Linked DNA regions of Mus musculus. The main gene of each other region encodes a partner of the protein of the gene in region 5 in a complex. Links are inferred from orthologs where the notes say so. Each region holds a gene or a part of one and is shown on either strand. Other genes may lie near its edges. The genes, in order: Ints12, Ints1, Ppp2ca, Ints4, Ints6, Ints7 and Ints9.

The links.
Region 1: Ints6 (region 5) and Ints12 share a complex: the UniProt entries of both Homo sapiens proteins name them as parts of the integrator complex. The link is inferred for Mus musculus from reciprocal best matches to the Homo sapiens genes INTS6 and INTS12.
Region 2: Ints6 (region 5) and Ints1 share a complex: the UniProt entries of both Homo sapiens proteins name them as parts of the integrator complex. The link is inferred for Mus musculus from reciprocal best matches to the Homo sapiens genes INTS6 and INTS1.
Region 3: the proteins of Ints6 (region 5) and Ppp2ca are in contact, whole or in part, in a cryo-EM structure (PDB 8RC4), measured with the Homo sapiens proteins. The link is inferred for Mus musculus from reciprocal best matches to the Homo sapiens genes INTS6 and PPP2CA. Residues at the interface, in NP_036273.1 of Homo sapiens: Leu20, Gly21, Thr22, Asp26, Lys29, Gly30, Glu33, Lys78, Asn79, Gln81, Asp575, Glu576, Asp577, His580, Ser581, Val582, Pro583, Ile584, Ala585, Met587, Gly588, Asn589, Tyr590, Tyr593, Leu594, Met626, Met627, Ile628, Asp629, Glu630; in NP_002706.1 of Homo sapiens: Arg89, His118, Val126, Tyr127, Pro172, Trp200, Pro203, Asp204, Asp205, Arg206, Gly207, Gly208, Trp209, Ile211, Pro213, Arg214, Gly215, Tyr218, His241, Gln242, Leu243, Val244, Met245, Glu246, Tyr248, Asn249, Trp250, Cys251, His252, Arg254.
Region 4: Ints6 (region 5) and Ints4 share a complex: the UniProt entries of both Homo sapiens proteins name them as parts of the integrator complex. The link is inferred for Mus musculus from reciprocal best matches to the Homo sapiens genes INTS6 and INTS4.
Region 6: Ints6 (region 5) and Ints7 share a complex: the UniProt entries of both Homo sapiens proteins name them as parts of the integrator complex. The link is inferred for Mus musculus from reciprocal best matches to the Homo sapiens genes INTS6 and INTS7.
Region 7: Ints6 (region 5) and Ints9 share a complex: the UniProt entries of both Homo sapiens proteins name them as parts of the integrator complex. The link is inferred for Mus musculus from reciprocal best matches to the Homo sapiens genes INTS6 and INTS9.

What each region holds. Positions count from the first base shown.
Region 1 is NC_000069.6:133,094,855-133,098,354, forward strand, and holds part of Ints12 (integrator complex subunit 12), read left to right. Parts: intron 1-1,893; 5' UTR 1,894-1,902; coding exon 1,903-2,058; intron 2,059-3,500. UniProt on the Homo sapiens protein: Component of the integrator complex, a multiprotein complex that terminates RNA polymerase II (Pol II) transcription in the promoter-proximal region of genes.
Region 2 is NC_000071.6:139,772,879-139,777,115, forward strand, and holds the start of Ints1 (integrator complex subunit 1), read right to left. Parts: upstream 2,801-4,237; 5' UTR 2,593-2,800; coding exon 2,454-2,592; intron 1,701-2,453; coding exon 1,410-1,700; intron 1-1,409. UniProt on the Homo sapiens protein: Component of the integrator complex, a multiprotein complex that terminates RNA polymerase II (Pol II) transcription in the promoter-proximal region of genes.
Region 3 is NC_000077.6:52,097,667-52,101,623, reverse strand, and holds the start of Ppp2ca (serine/threonine-protein phosphatase 2A catalytic subunit alpha isoform), read right to left. Parts: upstream 2,801-3,957; 5' UTR 2,576-2,800; coding exon 2,474-2,575; intron 1-2,473. UniProt on the Homo sapiens protein: Catalytic subunit of protein phosphatase 2A (PP2A), a serine/threonine phosphatase involved in the regulation of a wide variety of enzymes, signal transduction pathways, and cellular events.
Region 4 is NC_000073.6:97,536,456-97,539,955, reverse strand, and holds part of Ints4 (integrator complex subunit 4), read right to left. Parts: intron 2,057-3,500; coding exon 1,936-2,056; intron 1-1,935. UniProt on the Homo sapiens protein: Component of the integrator complex, a multiprotein complex that terminates RNA polymerase II (Pol II) transcription in the promoter-proximal region of genes.
Region 5 is NC_000080.6:62,695,113-62,698,612, reverse strand, and holds part of Ints6 (integrator complex subunit 6), read left to right. Parts: intron 1-1,657; coding exon 1,658-2,020; intron 2,021-2,820; coding exon 2,821-2,914; intron 2,915-3,500. UniProt on the Homo sapiens protein: Component of the integrator complex, a multiprotein complex that terminates RNA polymerase II (Pol II) transcription in the promoter-proximal region of genes.
Region 6 is NC_000067.6:191,620,636-191,624,190, reverse strand, and holds the end of Ints7 (integrator complex subunit 7), read right to left. Parts: intron 3,027-3,555; coding exon 2,727-3,026; 3' UTR 501-2,726; downstream 1-500. UniProt on the Homo sapiens protein: Component of the integrator complex, a multiprotein complex that terminates RNA polymerase II (Pol II) transcription in the promoter-proximal region of genes.
Region 7 is NC_000080.6:65,037,293-65,040,335, forward strand, and holds the end of Ints9 (integrator complex subunit 9), read left to right. Parts: intron 1-53; coding exon 54-191; intron 192-983; exon of another isoform or gene 984-1,140; intron 1,141-1,980; coding exon 1,981-2,157; 3' UTR 2,158-2,543; downstream 2,544-3,043. UniProt on the Homo sapiens protein: Component of the integrator complex, a multiprotein complex that terminates RNA polymerase II (Pol II) transcription in the promoter-proximal region of genes.

The DNA.
Region 1 (3,500 bases), on a different chromosome or scaffold from region 5:
CTTAGAAAAAGAACTAATTCTGAGGTTCCCCTTAGAGTATTGCTGTTGACAAATTTTGTAGACTTACACCATAGGTTACCTAATTTATGGGCATTTCATTTGTGATGACAGAATTACATAGCAGTACTTTGCTTCCATTTTTCCAAAGAGAAAATATAAAGTAGTGCCTCTGTCCCGTTGTAAGTATTTGTGTAGGCATCACTATTTGCTCAGTAATCTGTAAGACAGACTGCCCTGGGTTAAGTAAACTAGTGTGTCTACAGCTACATAAAATAGGTCATAGAAAGGTTACACTGTGTTTTTCTAGCTGAAACAACAGGTTTACCTCTTTAATCATGGAAATTATAGTAAATGAATTTTCCTCATCAGTGCATTTTCAAATAATCCTCCTGTCATTCTTTGAGATACTATATGTAATATAATTTAAAGCAGCAGTGGAGCCGATTTCATTTTCTTAAATTCTCACTAATATAACTGAGGTGTGGTTACTTTTTCTTTCTAGAACTCTAGCCTTCAAACTCACTATCCAGGCAATCCAGACAGATCAGGGTTTAGTAGAACATAGAATTAGTAATAATTTTTAATTATCAGATACCTTTTTAGAAACTTATAAAAAGCCTGGTGTGTATGTGCGCGTGCATGTGTGTGTGTGTGTGTGTGTGTGTGTGTGTGTGTGTCTGTCTGTCTGTCTATCTGTCTGTCTGTCTGCGCAGGGTATGAGGAGGAAAACAGACGGTATAAGTGAAACCTATTTTCAGCCTGTGCTTTCATATGCCAAGATTCAATGTACAGCAAGTTTGAATGGCATTGTAAGCCCTTGAAAACGGGAGCTTACTGTGGAATTGGGGAGAGACCTTTAACTGTAGCTCTGTAGCTGTTTCATTACTATGCCTTTAAACTTAAGGATAGAAGAGGATTTAAAACCTCAGTATATCGATCAAAGAATTGGACACCAAGGGTATGTTTTTATTTTAATAATTCCTTGCCAAGAAGGTATTTGGAAGAAGGACAACCAGAAATAGAAGCACGTGATAACATTGGTATCAACTGAAAACAAAACTTGTGTGTTGAGAACTTTGCAGCCCTTTGATGTGTGGCTCCACTGTCTGGCCTGTTGTTTAAGCTCCTTAGGACAGCAGTGTTAGACCTGAGGGATCCATGCAGTAGGTAAGGATCATTGTTCAGAGACCTTGCTTTTGAGAAACAGCTTAATGCAAGAGATCCCTCCATCTAAATGCAATATAGAAAGACTGCCACTAATGCTTTCTGGGATATTAAAAATAACAGAGGACTGGGGAGGAAGGAAAATACACAGAAGCAAAACAAGAAACAGTTGTAAAAGCTACACAGCGACTGCGACATGAACCCGCTCTGTGATCCTATCCTTGCCCTCCCCGCCCCACACCCATGAACACAAGATCTCTATTTTTGTGGTAAAAATAAGACTTGAAAAGAGACATTTTAATGTGTAGTAAACTTGACTTAAGAGCAGGCAAGTTACGTGTCATAAGTTACAGATGTGTTATTAGAGATAACTAGGGAGATACCCTGTGATTAAAGATCTTGTCAGTATTAAAACTTTGTCTTTGTAAGGTGTGGTGGCAACACACCTCCAAGTTCACCAGTGCAGAGATGAAGGCAGGAAGATGAAATTGTCCAGCCTGAGCATATAGGGAGATCCTGTCTCAGAAATGTAGTGGATGTAGATACGTGTAAAGTTGGTAACATTCATTGTTCCAGAAGGGAGAAGGAAGTCAGATAATTTCTGTCCTTACTTTGTCTCTAGTAACCTTTCAGATATTTTAAAATATTATAAGCAAGAAAACAAAATAGATAAATGATATATTATTATACACTGTCTAAATTATTCCCCCTCCTGTTTTTTGTCTTTAGGTGTTTGCAATGGCTGCTACTGTGAACTTGGAACTTGATCCCATTTTTCTGAAAGCACTAGGTTTCTTACATTCAAAGAGTAAAGATTCTGCTGAAAAGCTAAAAGCGTTGCTTGATGAGTCTTTGGCTCGGGGCATTGATTCCAGTTACCGTCCAACTCAAAAGGTATCGACCTGAATACAAAGTTTGGAAAGTCTTGGAAGTGTTCAGTGATAACATTTAGATTGTCTCCAAATACTCTATGTAATCATTCCTTATGTCTCAAAGAAATTACATTCTTTAACTTTGTTCTCTTCCCTCATGCCTTCAAAGAACACCCGGAAATGTTAGTGTGGTCTAGAGCAATGGTTCTCAACTTATGGGTCACGACCATTTTGTAGGGGTTGCCTGAGTCTGTCTCAAAACATAGGTATTTACATTACAATTCATAACAGTAGCAAAATGACGATTATGAAATAACAATGAAAATCATTTTATGGTTGATCAGCACAGCATGAGGAACTATGTTAAAGGGCCGCAGCATCAGGAAGGCTGAGAACCGCTGGTCTAGAGCATATGCTATTTTACTACCTGGTGTGCAAAAATTCCTTCTTTGCAATTTAACTTCCAGTTCTTTATAACTATTTGTATGCTGTGAAAGGTATCCAAACTTATTTCTAATTACTCTGTAATGTTTTAAGGATCAAAATATAAGCAACACAGGATTTTTTTTTTTTGACAATGAATTAAATGTGGACAGGATGCTATAAGGGTAAATAAAGGCTGTAGATGACAAAGCCATGTAGCTCCTTTATTGGTAGTGAATGGCAGCAGTATGTGACAAGAGTGTGTGGTTCAGAGTCAGGAACACCTTTTGAACGTTCAGTTTACCTCTTGTAGTTGTGTGATACAGAATTACATACCCTGAAATGTTACAGTCTCTAACTAAGTCTTTCCTAAGTGGTTTGTGGCTATAATGAATTTTTGTGATAATAATCATCCCTGGAAATTAGTATTGCATATTTTTCTTACTTTACAGTGAGGAAACTGAATTTATTTCACCCAACCTTGGCAAAGTGAGGAGACTAAGAACTATCTTGTAGAATTGTAGAAATAACAACAAAATAAGTAAGTTAGCCGGAGTAGTGTCTACCTAGTACAGGCAGACTTTCAGCTAGAAGTTTTATACTATTCTAGATCTGAAACTCCAGGTAACCCAGGTGTGGAGACACAGCTGCCCAACTAAGACGGAAGACAACTATGGCTAGCTTGAGTCTGATCAGAATCTGAAGCATAAGTTATGGCTACAACCCAGCTGTAGTGTCCACAGCTTTCTAGAGTGTAAGCCTGCAAGAGAATGATCACAAAAGAGTTTGGGTGATAAAGGGTCTGTGGTTGCGGTGGCTGTCTCATCGACATGCACACCATGAGAACCTGAGATAGGTGCTGGTTCTGTCTCCGGTTTCCTAGTGAGGCCATGGTAGGAACGGTGGTAGATGGACTAGAGTATGGTATCTTGGTTTTTAACTGGAGACTGTTTAGGTCATTACTTTCTGTGCTTGTTTCTTTTCTCGGTGCTTTCTTCAGGACTTTCTACATGCTAGGCAAGCACTAAGCAGTAGACCCAG
Region 2 (4,237 bases), on a different chromosome or scaffold from region 5:
GCAACACAGATGGGCCTCACCAGCACACGGAGGCTCTGAGCTCCCAGAAACCATACACCAGAGTCTGTGTCGTTTTCCTCAACAAATGGCTTCAGAAATGCTGGCAAGTGCTCAAGGAGGGAATCTAGACAGCCGGTCAACCACTGAGCCACGCCCCCAGCCCCTCACTGGGGGATTCTAGGCAGGGGCTCTACCACTGAGCCACACCCCCAGCCCCTCACTGGGGAAGTCTAGGCAGGAGCTCTACCACTGAGCCACGCCCCCAGCCCCTCACTGGGGGAGTCTAGGGAGGGGCTCTACCACTGAGCCACGCCCCCAGCCCCTCACTGAGGGATTCTAGGCAGGAGCTCTACCACTGAGCCACGCCCCCAGCCCCTCACTGGGGGAGTCTAGGCAGGGGCTCTACCACTGAGCCACACCCCAGCCCCTCACTGGGGGATTCTAGGCAGGGGCTCTACCACTGAATTATATCCATATCCCTCAATTTACTTTTTTACTGTCATACAGGGTCAAGTTAAGAAGTGGCCAAGGCTCACCTTGAACTTTTCATCTGCCTGCCTCAGTCTCCTAAGCAGCTGAGGTAACAGGCACCCTCTGAGCCTTTCAAATGACATCTCAGTACCAAGGGACAACGTAGCTTCATGAGATACAGCTTCATTAAAGGCTAGAGGACAGGATGCTTGTCCTTTTTGGCTCTCAGGAAGGAGTCCCTTAGAAAGGCTCGGAGCAGACACGCAGACAGTGGCGTCTGCTACTGGAATGTTAGGTGCTCAGAGGCTGGCACATAGCTAGCGGGTGACAGGTCTATGCTAAGGCATCATGGAGCTGCTATGAGTCACTGAGGGGCTCTGGGCTGTAGAGTTCAGTGGTTACAACACTTGCCTTGTGTGCATCTGGACCTAGGCTCAATCCTGGCACTGTCAAAGAAGTCATGGGATAAATGACAAGAAGGAGGAGAAGGTCAGACCCCTGCACAACTTCAGGGACACTCGTCTCTCCTCTGAGGTCTCTTTGGTACTTGGGGGACCTATTTTCTACCTGGAAAATGGCACCAAAATGCTCCCTGTCCTGGAGGCAAAGACAGTGAGCAAAGAATCCCCTTCCACTGGAGGACCGGGCTAGAACCACTTAGATGCCACCACAGCCTGCGCACCTGTCCCAGCACGGTTCAGAACAGTGCTGTCACAACCAGGGGCAGGCTGTACACAGGCCAGATAAATGATGGAACGAGGAACCAGGAGCACTGTGGGAATGGGAGGTGCATCTGTTCACAATGCCAGGCAGCGAGCCCACAGGAAGCCAAGACCCCACTACGCTAACAGAACCAGGCTGGAAGTGGCTCCCACGGGCACTGGGCAGATGGACAGGATGAAGGAATCTCTCTGGGGAAGTTGGCAGTCTGATCTTACCTTCAATGGGCACCACAGATGGCTCCTTAATCGATGGAGAAATGGCTCGCTTCTCTGCAACTGCGGCTTCAGCCAGACGTCCCAGGGCGCTCAGTGGGGGAGTGGAGGACAGTTTGGGGCGCTTAGTGAGGCCGGTCAGCGCAGAGGTCCCAGACAGAGAAGCTGAAGCATCTCTCTTGCGCTCTGAGGGTAGCCCAGAAGGGGCTGGCTTCAGCAGGGTGGACGTTGTCTTTGATTCACTGGCCTGACCCTTGGACCCCAGAGCAATAAAGTCCCCAGGGGGAGGGTGCCCTGCAGAGGAACAGAAAACCCACACCTGTGATACCCAATCTCAGAGTGGGCCCCCAAGAGACAAAAGTAAAGCCTGAGGTTGTCCAACCACCCTGGCAGAGCAAGCGATGGCTGACGCTGATCCAGTGCTGACTAGAAACTAAGCCATCTGTAACTCATAAGCACTGTCTACTTAATTCTCACCGGGCTTCTTCAAAAGTTATGACCCTCGTTTTACAAATAAAGACACAGAAGTTAGGCAGGGGACTGGTGGCACATGCCTTTAATCCCAGCACTTGGGAGGCAGAGGCAGGAGGATTTCTGAGTTCAAGGCCAGCCTGGTCTACAGAGTGAGTTCCAGGTCAGCCAGGGCTACACAGAGAAACCCTGTCTCGAAAAAACCAAAACAAAACAAGACAAAACAAAATAGACAGAAGTTAAGTAATGTGCCAGTGTCACACAGTTAGCAAGAAGAAACTTTAGGACCCCAGTCTAGATTATCCGGCTTCAGAGACTGTGATTCTGGTCCAGGTACCCTGTCCTTGCCAGATGCTCAGCAGGACAAGGATGCCCTTGTCCTTTAGGAGCCCCTCAGGACAGCAATGTATGCAGGAAGCCTGGGTTGGATGACCGTTGTCCTGCTGTGTTGGATGCCCACGCTCTCCCAACAGTCCCAAGTTAACTATGTCCCGTAGGAACCCCTTCAGTGGCCATGCCGGCCTTCATGGAACCCATTCATTGACCGTCTCGAGGTCGCCGCGCGCAGGGACGCACCTGAGGGCTTGGCGGCCGCGCTGGGTCTCCGTACGGTGGTGGGCTTGGCTCGATTCATCCTCCCCGCGGCCCGGGCGCCCCTAGAGGAAGCGCCTTCACCTGGGAGGAGGCGGCGGGAGTCACTCGCTCGCTCAGTCATTCATCCCTCGCACCGGGGCCACTGGACCGAGTGCCCAGGGCCGCCTACCGGGGTCACAGAAAGGGGCCAAGTGCGGCACACACGCGGCCGACTGCGGAGACGGATGTCACCGCAGGGAGCGGACTTCACCTGGGTGCAAAGGCCCCTCACCTCCGGTGCAGCACTCTGCAGACCCGAGACACGGGCGCTCCGGAAGTGCAAACTGATCTGCGAGCCTTCCGAGCGCTGATTTCTCACATAACCGGAAGTAAAACAAACCCGAAGGCGAGGAAGAGAGGAGAGAGGCAGGCAGAGCCTACTAGTGTTTGCACCGCCCTCTGGCGGCCGGAGGCTGGATGGACCTATGCCTGTCTGAAAGCTGGGCTTGTTGGGCATAAACTGTTCCCTCTTACGGTTTTGGAGCTAAATCTGATCCTAGCTCAAGAAGTCAAAATCCAGCCGGTCGGTGGTGGCGCACGCCTTTAATCCCAGCATTTGGGAAGCAGAGGCAGGCGGATTTCTGAGTTCGAGGACAGCCAGGGCTATACAGAGAAACCCTTTCTCAAAAAACAACAACAACAAAAAAGTCAAAATCCTACTTTCATATTGATACATGCTCTAAAATGTTGAAGGCCTCTGTCAATGGCCTCTGGATTCACCTGATTTGGGTACCTCTGTCAATGGCCTCTGGATTCACCTGATTTGGGTACCTCCCTCTCCATGGAGACCTCTACATGGAGCTATCAGGATAGGTACTGCAGGTCTCCTCTAAGGAAGTCCCAGATAGATTGTCCAGCTGCTGGGACAAAGACAAAATTCCAGACATGGTCCCGAGACCATGTTTGTGTGTGTGTACATGTATGTGTGTATACATATATATGTATGTGTGTTTATGTATGTGTGTGAATGTCTGAGTGTATCTATACACATATAGACAGACAGATAGACATTCCAAGGTCATAGAATTAGGATTGGGAGCCCAAGACCCTCAAGCGCCCTTAATGGATTGTCCCCATGATGGCCAGCCTCCTTGGTGCCAGCAAGCCCAGAGCTATATAGTAAACATTTGTGGGCTGAATAAAGGATGTGTTTGAACATTGTGGCACAAAGGGAGCTTCAGGCAGAGAGCTGGTTTTCAGCCCCAGGAGCGCACCTCCCATACCTGTCAGTGCCTGCAGTTCAGGGTCTTTCTTACTGTGATGCCAGGGCTACAATAACAGTATGTCAGGGTAAGCAGGATGGGTCAGTAGGTGAAAGAGCTTGCTGAGCCAACTCTACAAATTTGTCCTCTGACTTACACGTGTGCTGTGGTGTGCATGGCTGTACATTCACATCATGCACACTCATACCCACAATAACAATAGATAAAATTTAGATTTTAAAAAGGGATGAGTTGTCACAGTGTGGTCACACACACCTTTAATCCCAGCACTCAGGAGGCAGAGGCAGGTGAATCTCCGTGAGTTCCAGGACAGCTGGAGCCACATAGACAGACTCTGACCCAAAACAAAAGCAAAATCAAACAAAATGGCGGGGAGTCTGTTTACTCCAGTAGATCCTAACCCAGTGACAGTGGAACCCAGCTCAGCCTGAGCCCTGCTGAGGACCCTTTGGGGAAGGTTGGGCAGCGTCCCCCAGAACCTATGTAGGATGCTGGCAAACCACA
Region 3 (3,957 bases), on a different chromosome or scaffold from region 5:
CTAGTTCATCCCAGTAGGGAAGTCACAGCTGCAGGAATCTGAGAGAGGTGCTCATATCACCTCATGAGAAACTCAGCAATGAATGCATGTTCACACTGTAACATTTACTTGTGTGTGTACCTCAGAGGACAGCTTGAAGGAGTATGTTCTTTCTACCATGTAGTCCTATAAGGAAGGGGCCAAACTCAGGTCATTTGGGGACCTTTGCATAGGGAGCTCCCCCCACCCTTACACAATTGAGAACCCCTCCCTCCCAATCTAGGGAATGGTGCCATCCACAGTGGGTGTGTCTTCCCATCTCAACATAAGGAAGATGCTCCTAAACATACTCACAAGCCAACCTGATCTGCTAGGTAGACAATTTCTGAGACTTCCTATCCAGGTAACTCTACAGCAGCAGTTCTTTTGGGGGACCAGAACGACCCTTTCACAGGGGTCACATATCAGGTATCCTGCACACTACTAGATATTTACAATTCAAAACAGCAGCAAAATTACAGTTATGAGGTAGCAACAAAATAGTTTTATGACTGGGATCACCACAACATGAGGAACTGTATTAAAGGGTCACAGCATTAGGAAGGCTGAGAACCACTGCTCTCGAGGGTCAAGTTAACAATGCCACCCTAGTCTTTCCAACTAGATTAAAAGTTCCTTGAAAATATGCATAACATATTCTTCATTGTGTTCTGGTTGCCTTCTTAAGAGCATGTAATCTTGGAGCATGTGTTAACTATTTTTAAGTACAGAAACAAGGACCAAATAAACCGTTTACCTGAAAAAGCCAGTTACAATCACTCAGTTGGGAAATGAAAAGTAATTGTGTCCAGGTCTACCGAACAGTCCAATGAGTGGTCACACAAATGACTAGTCATCCAATGTCCACATAAAGCCCTTCACTCCGAGTCAGCAATTAGAGACTGAGACCTGGCAAGATTTACTAAGTAATATTTAAAAGGCTTACTTCTAAACCTTAAAAATACCAACCTTGTTTGATGTGAGAGAAACAAAGATCAAAACACTAGAGATTCAAGTGGGGCGTGTTATAACACACAGACAGACACACATACACACACGTCATCCCAGCACCTGAGGAAGCAGAGACACAAGGAATGTCACAAGTTCAAAGTTACCCTGGCTCTACATAACCAGTACCAGGGCAGCCAGGGATACTTGGGATGGAAGGAAGGAGGGAAGGGATAAATCTACATTTGACTTAACCAAAATGGTTTTCAGCATTTTCTGAAAAATTGTGTCATCAGAAAATATTCAACCTCAAGAATCTCCTTTCTACACCAAGCCACAAAAGAATGAGCATCTTCTGTGCTCCAAAAGTTCTTCCTGCTAACACAAATTACTAACATAATCCATAATTCTGCACTAAAATTAAATGTTAAATTAACCCTGAAAAGAAAAGCTAAAATGAAGTGGAGACACATTTTTCTAATAGAAAATTGCATTAATTAAGACTTCAAGAATACAACATGAACAACTTGCTTCCCCAATTCTTGGAGAAAACCAATGGAATGAGATAACCTGAGATACCGAGTTATCACTTCAAGGAGTGGACTCAGTTCCATGTCTGAAATAGAGAAATCGGTCAACACGGGGATTTCTACTGCTGATTGTAGCCACAAAAATACAATCCAAGAAACTTTTGCAACCAGAGAGGATAAAAAATTTGACTCTCTTCCCGTTTATGTTGCTCATTCAAAAATAAATGGCTCCACGCCAAGTACGTTACACACAGAAGGGTTTCACACTACCCAATTTGAGTCAGCATATACATCATAAATTAATGTGACACTGTATTTCCAATCCCAAAGCTCTTCGTTGTAGTATGACTCACCAAATCCTCCATTTGTCCAACTAAGAAAACTTTATATTCCTCCCTTCAAACTACCACTATGACCTTCGTAGGAACTGGGTTAGCGACTCCCTTCATAATCGTTAAACACACACTTTAAACAGGGCTCCGGGGAAGCCGAGGCGTGGAGACCGACAGGAAAGCGAGGTGACCTTTCCATAGGCGCTGGGGTCTGGCCTACAAGCCCTGCTGTGGGGGACCCTGTGGGCAGCGCCCGCTCCACGAAGCAAGCCCGAGTGCAAGCGCAATGCTTTGACTCCATGAGTCCGGAACCCGTTCCCGGGCGCAAAGCCCAGCCAGTCCCTCGCCGGGCCACCGAGGGTCCCGGCCGCCCCACTTCCCAGGGTCGGGCCGGGTTCGGCCCGGAGGCTCCGAAGCCCGGAGTCCGGCGCGCGGCGCCATTTTAGGCCGCGGTGGCGGCGCCATCCAATCAGCGCGCGGGAGGCGGGGGGCGCCGGGTCCCTCGCGAGTCGCCGCAGGCAGCGCCGGGCGCCGGGCTGCTAGGTTCGGGGGTCTGGCCTCCGTGCCGCCATGTTGCACCGTCCCCGCGGCCTCCTGATAGGCGGGCCCGGGCAGAGGCCGCACCCGCGGCCGAGAGCAGCTCACCTTCTCGCAGAGGCTCTTGACCTGGGACTCGGAGAGCTGCTTGCACTCGTTCAGCTGCTCGATCCACTGGTCCAGCTCCTTGGTGAACAACTTCTCGTCCATGATGCCGCCCGCCCGAACCGGCTGCCGCTCCGCGCTGCTCCCGCGCCGCCGCCCGCACCCGGGCCACACGCACACGCCGCCGCCGCTCTCCCGGGGTGCTTTCTGCGGCCCCAGGCGGCTGCTGGGCGCTGGCGCCGGCCCGCTGGCTCGCTCCGCAGTGCTCGGCCGCCGGCCGCTGTGCCTCCTCCTCCGCTCGCCCTAGCTCGGGACTCGGCTTTCTGTAATGGCGGCCGCCCGGCGTGGTGACGTCACGCCAGCGTCAGGGAGCCGCGGGGAGGGCGACGGAGTGGGGCCGGGACCCAGAGCTGCGCACCGTGGAGCCGGGGCGCAAGCGCAGCGGAGTTGGCTGCCGAAGGAAGTGGCTTCGCTCTTGGGGCGTGGTCCTCCCGCTGGGAGGGCGGCGGGGGAAGGGAAGAAGCGAGTCCGAGCAAGCGCAGTGCTGGTTAATCCTGGCGTCCCAGGCTCCGCAGGGCGCCTGCGCGGTCTCGGCGCATGAGCAGTCCGTGTAGGCGAGGTTTTTATTCCTTGTGACCTGGTGTTTCTGGAAGGCCTCTGGGTGATACCTCTCAGATGTGGTCTGGGCTCTGCCAGCCTGATGACTAAAGGCAACCCTAAGGCGCTTAGTCCAGCAGCCCTGGGAACCACAAGGGAGTCACACACCTTTGGGGACAAGCCTAGTGGCAGGTTGCCTGGAGTGACCTTCCCCACCTCTGGCCGTTGCAGGCTCCTATAATTAGGTCATTCGTGGGCGAAGGAAGGTGTACCTGCTGGGATGTGTCGCCCGCGCACCTTACACCCCCAGCACACACCTGTCCCTGCACGAAGGCGGGGCCGAAGTGGGCCTTCGATCCTGGCCTCTTCCTAAGCCTTGCTTCCTCTCCTGTGGCCTTCAACACCTCTGGTGTGCACTTTTCTCCGAGACCTGTGCCCACTGGAAATAATCTTGTCCTACATTCTAGAGGAACAAGCCAGGGCTGTGTTCTGGTACTGGTAGAAGCAGCTACCGTGTGTTCTGTAAAGGAAGCTGATATTCTTAAGGATCAGCCTTCGACCTGGTTATAAATCTCTTCTGAGGCTTGTGAAACGTGTTCACATTGCACTGTCTGCATTCACAGAGATACTTGGCTCTACAGAGCATCAACTGTTGACCAGATCCCATGCTTAGGGGACAAAGGGGTCATGCAGACAGAAAGGGGCTACTGCCCTGGTGGAGCTTGAATGTTCCTGGCTGGAAATGAATGGAATGGATGGAAGTCATACACTGCTCCCCTCCAGAGTCTGGGAGAGAAGCCAAAGGATGGTTATCCATGAAGGTCAAGGCAAGAGCTGACCTAGCTATACTGTGGGGAACAGTCAAGCCTGTCACACACCGGAGAAGACAC
Region 4 (3,500 bases), on a different chromosome or scaffold from region 5:
AGTTCAAAGGACAAGAATGAGCTCGATGGCTTGAAATCAAACAGCACAAAGGCTCAGGCCTCCGAATGGCTCTCCAACTCTATTTCTGGTCTCTCAGGGTCAGAGCAAAGACTAGACTGCTATCCTCCAGGCAACTAAGGCCAGCATGAGCACCATGTGAGCCTCACATTACAGGCCATGTAGCAAACATACCCACCACTCAGGGCCTGACACAGCCATGCGTGTAGCAATGACACAAGCGCTACTCCAACACAACAGCCTCCACTCAAGGTGGAGCCAGGCGAGACCAGCATCAGCCTTCTCCTCACACTCCTAATCCACCCCAGACAGCACATCACAAGTGCCTGGGCAGTCACAGTACTTTCAAGGAGCCAAACCCTGGGCAAGTCAGAGGACGCCATATAGTACTGACCAACAGAGTCTTTCTGCCTTCCCTCACCGGTGTCTGATAACAATGGCAGTGCAAGCCAATGCCACAGGAAGATGGGAGAGGAGAGAAAGTGAAAGGCAAACACACAAATAGTGCAAGAAGAGAGACAGAGAGACAGAATAAAGAACACTCAGGGAAGCAGAGCCTGGGTACCCTGAAATGCCAGGTCCTAGATCACAGAAATACGAAGGGGCTACCCTAACTACCTCTTTATAATAACTTCATCACTATGCATCTAACAGGTCTGACAGAAGGAAACCTCTAACGGCACTAAATAGTTCGGCATGTATGCTTTGCACTGGGACATGTATATCCACAAGTGTGAGTCAGAGGCCAGAGGTTAATAGCAGTGTGTTCAACTGCTTTTTACCTTTTTGTTTTTTCAGAATTAAAATAAACAAACAAAACACTCTTAACCTGGGTGTAATGGCCCACACCTTAAATCCCACCACTCAGGAGACAGAGGCAAGCGGATCTCTGTGATTTCAAGGCCAGCATGATCTATAAAGTGATCTAGGACAGCCAGAGAAGCCTTGTTTTAAAGGAAAAAAAAAGATTAAAACATAAAATAAAATATAAAATTCTAGATGGTATTCCTCTACTAATTAAACCAAATTGGTGGCATTATTCCCTTTCCTAGTAAAAGTCATATTCCCAAGTTCTCCCCAGTGACTGAGAAACACCACCGTAACCGACTGAGGCCCATTAAGACCTGCAGATTGAAGTTCTCCAAGCAGCTTCACAGGCCTGAAATGTAAAAGTTTTACACATCTGTATTCTCCCACTGTATTCTTACAGATTATAGATTGTGTGTCTGTCTGTCTGTCTGTCTGTCTGTGCACATACAGACATTAGCTATCCAGGTTCAGTTCTAAGTCTGTAAAACTAAACACCTGTATTAGCTCCAAACAGTTCATAGGGATCAGAAGGACAGCTACTTGTTATTTGATTTGTTTCAGTGAAATAAGCTGGACTGTCCATATACAAAGAGATAATGATTTATAATGTCTGTTAAGAAACACGAAACTTTAATTTCCAGAATAATCCTCAGTAATTTATGGGTTGAGAATTATTATCTTCATTTTGGAAGTGAAGAGGAAGACTCGAGAGAGAATGATGTATATCACAGGCCCAGTGAGCACAAGAAAGCAAGTTTCCTGGTGTGAAGTGAATGAGTCTCCCATGAGTCTCCACACTGTTAGAGTCTTCTGAGTGTCTTCCTTGTGCAAACAGCAAATTAGTCCAAATATACAGATGTTTGAGCTTCCTTACTTATGAGAGCAAGTTCACTCAGGGTATGGTGGCACATGCCTTTAATCCCAGCACTGGGGAGGCAGGTGCAGAGGCAGGCAGAATTGGAGGCCAGCCTGGTCTATATACAGAGTTCTGGGCCAGCTAAGGCTGGAATAGTGACATCTTATCGCAAACAAACAAACAAACAAGCGAATCACAATGGGAAAGATCATCGGGGACTTATTTCCTGCCTACCCAGCCCACATTCTTACCTGTCCAGGCAGTATGGGAGAGGTACACCTGAGTGAGGAGACGGTGCCGTCCTGGGCCAGGATTCCGGAAATCTGCTGGCTTGGGGTGGATCATCTGAGCCTGGCCATCTGGATATAAGACCTACAATATGACAGAAATGGGGCAACAGAAAATAGATGGGCTAAGAAAACTGATAACATCTACTGTGTCCCCAAAATCATTAGCAGGAAGATGACTGTAGCCATTATATAAAAACTGCTTCTTAAAGGAGAAACACCTTTAATCACAGCATTTGAGAGGCAGAGGCAGGCGAGCTCTGAGTTCAAGGCCAGCCTTGCTTAGAGAGAGAGGTTCAGGTCAGCCAGGGCTACACAGAAAAACCCCGTCTCAAAAAACTGAAAATAAAGGGGGGGGGGGTAGGGCCACACTAGCAGAAGCAGTGTCTAGCTACTATTTCTTAGCTCCCTGGTAAGTGAATGATAGGAATGGTGTATCTATTAACAGACAGTAGAGAATGGGGCTAACTGTGGAAAGACGTGCAAGCACCCTGCTTGCAGTCCTAGCACTTGGGATGGAATTGGGAAGATTGGACGTTCAAATAGCAAGGTGGAGGCCAGCTTGGTCTGTGAGATCCTGTATTAAGAGGTGAGGTGAGGAGTGGAGAGGAGGAGAGGGACAAAGCCCCAGAGCCCCGAAGCTTTCTCAGTGAAGCTGCATTAAAAATAGACAACCCGGTTGGGCCTGGTGGCAAATGTCTTTAATCCCTCCACCTGGGAGGCAGAAGCAGGCAGATTTCTGTGAGTTTGAGGCCAGGCCAGGTCAGGCCAAGCCAGGCTGAGCTACATAGAAAGTTCCAGGGAAGTCAGGGCAATAGAGAAAGCCTCTGTCTGAACCCATTAAAAGCTAAAACAAACTTTAAAAAAATGCAAAAACACACACACACAAAAAAAAAAACCAAAGAAAATCCATAATTTTAAGGGAGAATAAAGCCTCCATGAAGTCTCTAAGGCACGCTGACAGTTGCAGGTTTTCACCTCTGTCTGATGTTCCGAGTAAGGAAGCTGGACTTTGAAAGTGCTACAGATGTCTCATGACAGGGCAGAAAGCATCCCCATTACACCCCATGCAGGCAAGTGTTTGCCTGGAAGGCAGTAGAGATGTTTTAGAGTAAATTCTTTTCGGGATAGTTTAGCAGATGACCTGTAAATCCACCTGCGATTGTTTACACAACAAAACAAGTGTCCATCAGACTAAGACCTCTGAGCTCAGTCTCAGGATTCTGACTTAACTGGTATAGGCCGGATGAGGACTGGTCATCAGTTTCTAAGCAACTACAAGTACAGCTAGGGTGGCTAACCTTAAAACACAAAGAAGCACTGCAGTTACAGCTTTCTACTCGCTCAGAAGTTCTGTGGGTATGATCTGTGACGTACCCACACCCATTGCAGGATATTTGATCACACTGTGAACCTGAGATTGTGTTATTTACTGAAATTACTTATTTCTAATTGTGGTGTGGCTCAGTCTTAGCACACACCTTTAAGCCCTCTGGCTGGAATACAGACGTGCCCTTAGTACACACACT
Region 5 (3,500 bases):
ATCTGGCTCCTATTTTTCCAGCTATTGTCATCACTCCAATTAAATGGCTGCAGCTAACAGACAGTGTAAACTGGCCATTAAGTCTGGTGTTTACTTGATAGATACCATAGTGTGGGATGTTAGAACTAGATCATTGGAACATTGTTGAAAGTGACCTAGCATGGGCTTAAGCCTCATAAAGAAGAAGGTGGAGGAGTTGCTGGAGTGAAAGTTGGTAGACATTGGTGCTACAGAACTTCATAAATTTGGAGCATGCAAGGGGAGTGCTTGGGGTCCTTGTTAAACTGCTTGTTATCATGCAAGTCAGGACTGGGCCACAAAGGAAGCATTTCAGAGGCTTTCCTGAGGCTTCCTTGTAAGAACCTCCTAGAATGTTAGGAGGGACTTACGAATGTACAGTGAACGAGGTGCCAGAGCATGTGCACTGAACTCAGTATGAAGAGAATTGTTCAAAAGTGCAGGAGTTTTTTTGCCTTTTTTTTTTTAATGGTTTTAGAGTTTTATTGTAGAAAGGCAGAGAGAAAGAGAGAAGGTAGAAAGAGAGAAGCCAGTCATGACCACGTGGAGAGAGGGGGAAAAGGAGAGCTAGAGATGAGAGTAAGAAAGTTGAGAGCGTAAGAGCTTTTTTTTGGTTTTTCGAGACAGGGTTTCTCTGTGTAGCCCTGGCTGTCCCGGAACTCACTCTGTAGACCAGGCTGGCCTCAAACTCGGAAATCTGCCTGCCTCTGCCTCCCAAGCGCTGGAGTTAAAGGCGTGTGCCACCACTGCCTGGCTGCTTTTTTCTTTATAAAGAATTAAATACAAGAGATTTTAAAATTACATTTAAGAGGTGAAAGAGTCAGTGACTATCTCACTTTTACACTCATGAGAAAGCAATTTCTACTCCACATTTGAGAAGGAGAGAAGTGGCTTGTTTGTTTTATTTTTTAAATAGGAGAGTGTGGTTTTCATTAAAGCAGAAATTACCGTGATTTTCAGCCTTAACCTTAGACAAAGGCTGAGAAACAGTTGTGGAGAATAATCAGTGAAGAAGTGTTTTCAAATCATGGGGTATAATTCAGAAAGTATGAGAGAGGGAGATGGAAGGAGTAGAAACCAGGTCTTTACATTGAGAGGTAGAATAGAAGGGTTTAGCTGGTGCCCTGGAGGCTGGTGAATAATCAAACTTAGGGGTCATGTCTAAGAATCTTATATTTATTGGCAAGCTAGTAAACTTTTGGGTCTGCTGGTCTAATGAGCTGAAGTGGGCACCAGATTACTTTGCATGGCTAGGAACTGAAAGGATAGATAGAAAACAGTGTGCTCTGAAATGTAATGTGCCTTATTTGGTGTTCCTTGCAGAATCTTGAGCAATAAACACCACTCAGTGTTTACTTTTCTCTTTAAAGAATAACAGGTTTATAAAGATAAGTAGGCTTAAGATGAGGTAGGTAGGACTCTTAAGCCAAAAATGGCAATTTTAGTGGTGTATAAACTGAAAACTGGTTTAGTTACTTTGCTAAAATAAGGTAGAAAACAGGCTACAGTTGTTTCTATTTTAAATATGTCATAAGTTTAAATTTTAGTTATTTGTAGTAATTGTGTTACTTTAGCATTTTTATTCTGTACTTTGATACCAGATCTCACTTTTCGTTCCGTTTCTTTGGTTTCATTTCAGAAGCCACTAATGATTCAATAGTAGATGATGTGGTTGAAAATCATGTTGCTGACCAACTTTCATCAGACATGACACCAAATGCTATGGATACTGAATTTTTAACATCTCCCCCTAATCTTTTGGAACCATCAACCAATCATACAGAGGCCCTTGGTCATGAACATTTAGGAAACAATGACCTCACTGTTGGTGGGTTTTTAGAAAATCATGAGGAGCCAAGAAATAAAGAACAAAGTGCCGAAGAGAATATACCAGCATCTTCACTCAACAAAGGAAAGAAATTGATGCATTGTAGAAGCCATGAAGAGGTCAACACTGAACTAAAAGCACAAATAATGAAAGAGATCAGAAAGCCAGGAAGAAGTATGTATAATTAGAGACAAAACTTACTAATTTCTTTGTCTTCAATTAGGGAAAACCAAGTCAAATCAGTAAAAGCATATGTATTATGCTAGATTACTCATGAAGTAATATCTGAATTCTTTAAGGTTTAATTTCAGATTCAGCTGGAAAACACTAAATAATCTTGGTACTCAAGGTGTTCTAGTATGGGTGGTAGATAGCAGAAAGTCTTTATCTAGAGATGTAGTACATGTACTTGCCATGACAGGGGCACAGAATCTTGACTGTTCTAACTAGGAATTGAAATTTTACAACAGCTAACCCAAACAGATAGGGTGGATAATACTACATGACTTGGTGTTCGGTTAACAGTGTATCTAAGAGGTAGAGCACCTGTATAGCCCAAATTCAATTCTCAACACTGTCTTGTGTGTTTGCAAAGTTCCTCTCTACTGACTGTCACTATGAATGAATTATGATAGTGACCTTCATCATGTGCTTAGGCTCCAAACCAAAGTCGTAAGGCCATCACATGAATGCAAGAGAACTCTCGTGGTACAAGAATTGTGCATAATATTGGCATCCATTCAGAACATAGCTGACTCTGCTGTGGTGGTGTAATAAGAAAGTGGAAGGGTCTTGAGCACACACACATACAAAGTGCTTAGAAGGTTTTATTTTTGGTGATACATACTTTCATGCACATACATGTTAACAGTGGTCTGTAAAAGCTTTGAAGAGTGGTAATATTTTTATGTAAAATATTTTTTGTCTGAGTATAGAGGCAGTTAATTGATTTTCCTTCTCTCTCTTTTTTTAAGAATATGAAAGAATCTTCACCTTACTGAAGCATGTGCAAGGCAGTTTACAAACAAGGCTAATATTCTTACAAAATGTCATTAAGGAAGCATCCAGGTAAAGAAACTTGTGTGTTTCTAAACAATAATGAAATAGTTTTTGGTTTGCATATATACTTGAATTGCATTAGTTAGGCAGTTGGGTTTATGTATGTGCATGGATTTGATTAATTGAAATGTGAATTAGCTTAAAAGAGGAAAAAATGGAAAAAAGTTGCACACGTCCCTTATCACTCAAAATATCAATGTAGAAAGGTAAAAGAAGTTAAAGATGTACAACACCACCAAAAAGCAATGGAGAAATTAATCAAGAATTTTAGAAGAATATAATAATTTACCAGGGAAAAGTCCATAATTTCTCAAGGATTTATGTGCCTACTTCAGCTTGGGCACACTTCTACTTGGAATGCTGAAGATAAGGCTATGTGTTTTCATATAAGTTGAAATACTTAAGTTATTCTACTTTTAATGAAAAGTCTGTTCTGTCTTTTGTTCAGTTCAAAGCATGCCTTGAATTTTTAGTGTTGTTCATTTTTGAGATAGCATCTTCCCACATAGCCAAGCTAGCCTCCATCTTAGGTTTCTTCTGCCTTAGTCTTCCAAATGCTGGAATTATAGGTATGTGCCCACATGCTAATGCATCT
Region 6 (3,555 bases), on a different chromosome or scaffold from region 5:
CATCAGCTCCTGCCTCCAGGTTCCTGCTGTTGGACTTACTACTGTGGCTTCAGGATAAGTGAGCCAAACAAACCCTTTCCTCTCCAGTTGTTTTTGATCCTGGTGTTTCAGCACAGCATTAATAACCCTATGACACACAGTACGTAGCTTTTCTAAGGTCACAAACGTAGGTAAAGTTTGAACATGGGCAGTGTAGGTGCAAAGACTATGTTCTCCTCACCTACTTACACAGAACTCAGTAAGTACCAAGGAAAGCAGGCCTGCCTTCTGAAAGGCAATTACCAAACAGGGAAACACACTGATTTCCTACCCAGCCTGCTTATCTTTTTTTGGGGGGGATTATCCTTTAGTGTCAAATTTTTAACACAATCTTCTTCCTGAGTAACTACTTAAAGGTTGATTTAAAAACAACCCACTACAGTGAACATACAGCCAGACAATGCCACTCCTGGGTCTTCTGGACAGAGTCCGGTTTGCTTCAGTTACTTTCACACTCAACGATCAGGACCTGCTTTTATTTGTTTTCTAAGTCTGTTGGGGTCTGGGGGTCACCACAGTACATGGAATCCAAGAGTTTATAACCACAAGTATCAAAACATCTTAATAACATAAAATGTGAGGGCCACAAAAGAAATGAGTGTCTTACTAGATTTACATTCTTTCTGGAATCTACTGTGTAACAGTGCCAGAGACCTGCAACTCACTCTACAATATCAGCTACTTAAGAGTGAAAAAGGACAGGCTGGGCGTGGTGGCACACGCCTTTAATCCCAGCACTCAGGAGGCAGAGGCAGTCTGAGTTAGAGGTTAGTCTGGTCTATAAGCAAGTGGTTGGACAGCCAGGGCTACACAGAGAGATCCTGGATCCCGTCTTCCAAAAAAAAAAAAAAGAAAGAAAGAAAGAAAAAAAGGGTCTTCCTCTGGGTGCTAAGTCAGGCCGGTGACAGAGTAAGTGGGACTTGGGTCCTCAACCAAGTTCAATCTCTGGCATTTTCCCCAATTTTCTTCACCACTATCTTTTTTTTTTTTAATCCAGTTGCCTGATAAAGCTGAGTTAGAGTGGAGAGACCTAGCCTAATTCAGTCATTTGCTAAGAGGCTGACTCTACAGAGACACGCGACTCACTGCTGAGCCCAAAGTGGAACATTGACTCAGCTCTTTCCATATCCAGCAAAGGACACGGGCTCCGCACGGGTCTTCCCTCGCACTCTGGCATCAGTCCCCAGACGCTGACCAAGTGCCGACTGTGCACCATGTGCACTGAGGTGGCTGGGGGGGGAGGTCACTTACAGTGGATACAGTAGACTTGCACAGACTATGACAAGCAGAATGGGCTATGCAGAGGTAACATCTCACAAAGCAAAGTGACCTCAGGGGAACCCAAGTTGTCGATCACTTCTCAGTCCCTGGGGTGATGCGACAGGAAAAAACAAAAACCAAACTCCATTTAAAAAAAGTCAAGTCCTCTTATGAATCAGTATGACTTTGAAGAGAAAAAAAAGGTAAAACACAAGCAAAGAAATTAGGAGATTTATTTACACAGGGAAATCCAGGGCTCATGCCCTTAGCAGCCCACTGCACCCAACACCAATGACCACAGGGGGTATCGGCAGGCTCAGCTCATCATATTAACCGTGGTCCAAAAGCACTGAGCAGCCATAGTCAACTGTTAAATCAAACCTAGAATCAGTGTGTTGTCATGTAGTTTCTGACCATGACTCAAGTAGAAAAAGGGCTTTTCTGGCTAGCCAGAGTCTGTTCCCTGAGCATCCCAGCTGAGGTTACGTCTCGGAGATAGCTGTCTAGACATCAGGTGTAGAGTAATACGTCATCTAGTAGAAACCAGAGCGGGGAAGGATCTGTTCCCTTTACATCAAACAGGAAGACATATGTGAACCACATTCCATTTGTAGAAAAAAAATATCAGAAGTCCACACTAGTCACATACCAGAAAAAACAACACATTCATTTCCAACCTTTCTAGCTGGAGCTGTTTTTTGGGTCAATCAAAGACCAAAACAATAAACTAACATTGCTTCAGGACAGAAGGTGGGTAAGAGGTGCCAATGCAGCAGGCCGCTGAGCCTGTGGCCCACAGGCTCCCACAGACCAGAAGGCAGGTGCGGCCTCTGTGAAGGCCTCATTCTCCAGCCCAGGACAAGCACTGCACGACTCAACAGTACTCCCTGCCTGCCTCAAAACCCCAGGTCGGGCCAGTCAGCACAATAATTCTGGTAGACAGAGACACAGTCAAATTTACCAATGATCTGTGACTATTCTTGGAAGAAGAAAAGCTCACCAACCACAAAGAATAATACAACAAAAATGCTAAGTGTGAGACAGAAGACTGGGTTTAAGAAATTTGGGCGCACGCCTTTAATCCCAGCACTTGGGAGGCAGAGGCAGGTGAATTTCTGAGTTTGAGGCTAGCCTGGTCTACAGAGTGAGTTCCAGGACAGCCAGGGCTACCCAGAGAAACCCTGTCTCGAAAAAAAAAAAAAAAAAAAAGCACTTTTATTTTGGCTGAGAGCCAGGTTATTTCTTACACTAAATTTTTAAGAAAACAACAACAACAACAACAAAAACAACTTCACCAGAATGTTACATTACAGCTATCAGTGAATACTGGATTTCACACTGTAACATTGACACTTAATGCACATGCGGAAGACTCTTCTTGTAGTCTGATGGCTGTGCAGTGTGGCAGTAGTATGCTTGTAGCACAGCTAAAACCGGGTGTAGGCACTGCGAGGCTGCGGCTGCGGCTGTGGCTGTGGCTGCAAAGGCTGCTGGGCCTGCTGCTGTAGGCGAATCTGCTGGGAGTAGGGGTCTTCCAGGGATTTGACAAACATAGTAGTTCTGGGGCCAGTCTTCCAGACGATGCCATTGGCATCTCTCACCGATGACTCCACTGTGATGCTGTGCGTTCCAAGGACAGCAAAGTTCAACAGGAACTGGGTGCTGAAGTAATCATTATGTGGCTCAACCCTCTGCTCCATCTCATTGGTCATGCTATCAATGGGAATCTAGAACACAAGAATTGTTAAACCAGCATGAGTTGCTTACTCAGTATTCTCCAGGAGCCAGGCCCTGGAGTCTAGGGTGCTGGGAGACACCTGCAAACTGGGACAAGCCACATGAATTCTCATCACAATTCCCAGCAACATCTGAGATCACCCAGCCATAACGGGAGTGTTCTAGACACAGCCCACCGTTTATCACTCAACAAATATTTATAGAGTGGCTAAGGGCTGCATTAATCAAAGAAAAGAAAGGAAGAGAATGGAGACCAAGCCTTAACAGTGAGCAGATTGCAGGCTGAGAGGACAACACTGAAGAAAGTGAGACAGAGGCCACACCAGTCCTCCTTCAGCTTCCTACCTAAAACTGTGATGATGAAATGATCGTGTATGTTCGTGTGTGCACGTGGGTGTGCACATTATATGCTTGCTAGTGTGGGTATGTGCATGTGGACATGCAAGTGTGTATGTGTGAGGACATGAGTAGGAGGCCAGAGGTCAAAGCTGGGTGCTTTTCCTCAATCACTTTCCACCT
Region 7 (3,043 bases), about 2.3 Mb from region 5:
ACGGAGTCAGTGAAGAGGCACTCACCAAGAGCCACACTTTCCTTCTGCCCTAGCCCCCTCCCAAGCCCACCCAGCCCACCAGCAGTAAGAAGAGGAAGCGGGTGAACGAGGACATTCCTGACTGCAAAGTACTGAAGCCTCTGCTGAGTGGCTCCATCCCCGTAGAGCAGTTTGTGCAGACCCTGGAGAAGGTGAGCTGGTGGCCTGCTCTGCCCCGAAGGGGGTGCTAGGATGTCATAGAACGAGGAGAGGCTCAAAATGAACTAAGCCAAAGAACATCTTCCTTCCTGGGCTGTCCCCAGTCTCTGCTCACCACCAGCCCTGTCTTCAGTCTCCAGCTCTGGAGCAGCAGGAATAGCACAGCACAGGCTGCCTGTCCTCCCTGGAGCCAGGCTGCCCACGGGAAGAGCACCACTGTCTGGGAGGGCTAGCATGTGAGACTGGAAGGTCAGCGATTCCGTTAGAGGTGGGTCGAAGAGACAGGCAAGAAGGAAGATGTTGTGCTATCATCTCAGTGGCTGTCTATCCTGTGGGCCCCAGTGGCTGCTTCTTTCAAGGGAGAGATTCTTTTGTGTAGGGCTGTTCTGCCTGCATATTTATCTGTGTACCCTGTGTATGCCTGGTGCCCACGGTGGCCAGATCCCCTGAAACGAGTTACAGTTGTAGCTGTCGCTTGGGTGCTAGGAGTGAAACCGTGGACCTCTCTCTGGAAGAGCAGACAGTGCTCCTGACCATGCAGCAGCCTCTCCACGCCTAAGGGAGACTCCTGACTACATCGGTGCAGGAGGCTGCGGAGAGCACTGCCTTAAAGATCTTTATAGTTTTGTCTCTGTCAATGTTAATGTCTCCACATAATCACCCTTACTAGGAAGAGGGGGATAGGGTGACGTTTTTTGTGCGTGGAACCTTTCATAAATAATACCTTTTGGTTGGATTCTGGCCCCGAAGATGGCATGGGGTATGCTTTGAGAAAACTCCAGTACCTGATGGCAGGGTTGGACATTCTCCAGCTAAGCCGTGATAACCACACTGTCTCAGCTGCTGACTTCTTTCAAGGTTCAAAAACAAGGCTTCCCGTTCCAGGCTCAGTTTTCTTTAGTTTTTGATTTCTCCAACTGCTCTTGAGATCTCCCCACCGTTCTGTAGATGAATAAAGGACCCCATCTCCCGTGAGGCTTTACGGGCTCCCGATAGGAGCCAGGGGTTTCAAGTTTCACATTTTTATTTTATTTTATTTTATTTTTTTAATTTTATTTTATTTTTTGGTTTTTCGAGACAGGGTTTCTCTGTATAGCCCTGGCTGTCCTGGAACTCACTTTGTAGACCAGGCTGGCCTTAAACTCAGAAGTCCGCCTGCCTCTGCCTCCCAAGTGCTGGGATTAAAGGCGTGTGCCACCACCGCCTGGCAATTTCACTTTTGAAAATTATTTGAAAGTTATTTCTCACAATAACTTGCTTTTCCACAGTGATCTTACCTTTTTCTCCTGCCTATAACTCCCTGTCTCACCTCCTTCGCAAGGCCGTGTGGGTGTCCTGCAGCAAAGGACAGGCAGTCCCTGCCTCAGGCTCTCTACTTGCTGTGTGTCTCATCCTGGTGACTCTAACTTAGTTGTAGTTCTCATTTATCAGTAAAGGTGGCTGGGAGATGCTGCCAGCCCCCGGGTGAGTGGTACCTCACTGTGAGGAGCAGTGCTTTTCCTGGGGCTCAGAACTGCAGAGACCAAAAGTAGGCAGGTGCCAGGACCAGCAACCAAGCTCTTCCCTGAGAACCTGAGAGGCTTGATGGACTCAGGGCCTCAGAAAGGGTGGAGGAATCTGCTATTTTCCTGAGAGTTTTGTGCGTGGGGCCTTTCATAAATAAAACCTCTTGGTTGGACTCTGGCCCCGATGTCAGAGCTGGGCTGAGTGTAAACGCCATAGTGAGTGCTCAGTCAGGCCTTGCTCTCAGAGGCACTGTCCTCCTCTTTTCTCTTGGAACAGCATGGCTTCAGTGACATTAAGGTGGAAGACACAGCCAAGGGACATATTGTCCTGCTGCAGGAAGCCGAGACACTCATCCAGATTGAAGAAGACTCCACTCACATCATCTGTGACAATGACGAGACACTGAGGGTCCGACTGCGGGACCTTGTCCTCAGGTTCCTGCAGAAGTTCTGAGTGGCATCCGTGACATCCTAGGCCCTTCACCCAGAGACAGTCTGGTGGTGTCCTATGACTTCCGGAGAGGAGAGGTGTCTCCAGCTAGGATCTGCCAGTGTGACTTCCTCGTACTGCTGACCCCAAGAACGTTTAGAGGCCTGTTCTTTTCAGTTCTGGGCTCCTGAGCAGCTATGGGTGACAACATGACAGACATCCTTTCCTAAGGGAAATGAAAAAAAAAAAATGCCTGGCCTGTGTTTTTGGGGCTCACAGGGGGTGACTCTCGGACTTACCCTCCTACAGTGCTACACCGTATAAAGGTCAGCCCCCAAATTAGAAGGCAAACCTATCTCGCTGTTCTGTGGCCCGTTTTGCTAAAAATAAACATTATTTTTATAAAAGTGCCCAGTTCTATTGCACTACAGTCTAAATAATGACTTAGTATCTGGGGGAAAAGTCTGCAGCTACACTCAGCAGTGAAAACGCCACAGCACATCTGCCACACCTCTGCCCTAATCATTAACCCTGTCTGCAGAAATGCAGATGCACCCAGTGCTGGAGGCTCATCCTCTGACACAGCAGGCTCGTGGCCCCCCTGGGCTCATAAGACCCTGTCTCAAGAAGCAGAAACAACCTGGCAGGCAGTTCATGGCCTTTTAATCCCAGCACTTGGAGGCAGAGGCAGGCAAATCTCGGAGTTCGAGGCCAGCCTGGTCTACAGAGTGAGTTCTACGACTGTCAGGGCTACACAGAGAAACCCTGTCTCAAAAAAGCAGCAGAAACAGTAAAGTCAGCTACATTTCAATTCTATGGAAAGGTACTTTGTACAAAAAGAACCCCCACTCGAGCCTAGAGGTTGAGGTGACTAAAGGGAGACTGGGAAGCCCCCTTTTGTCAATTCTTT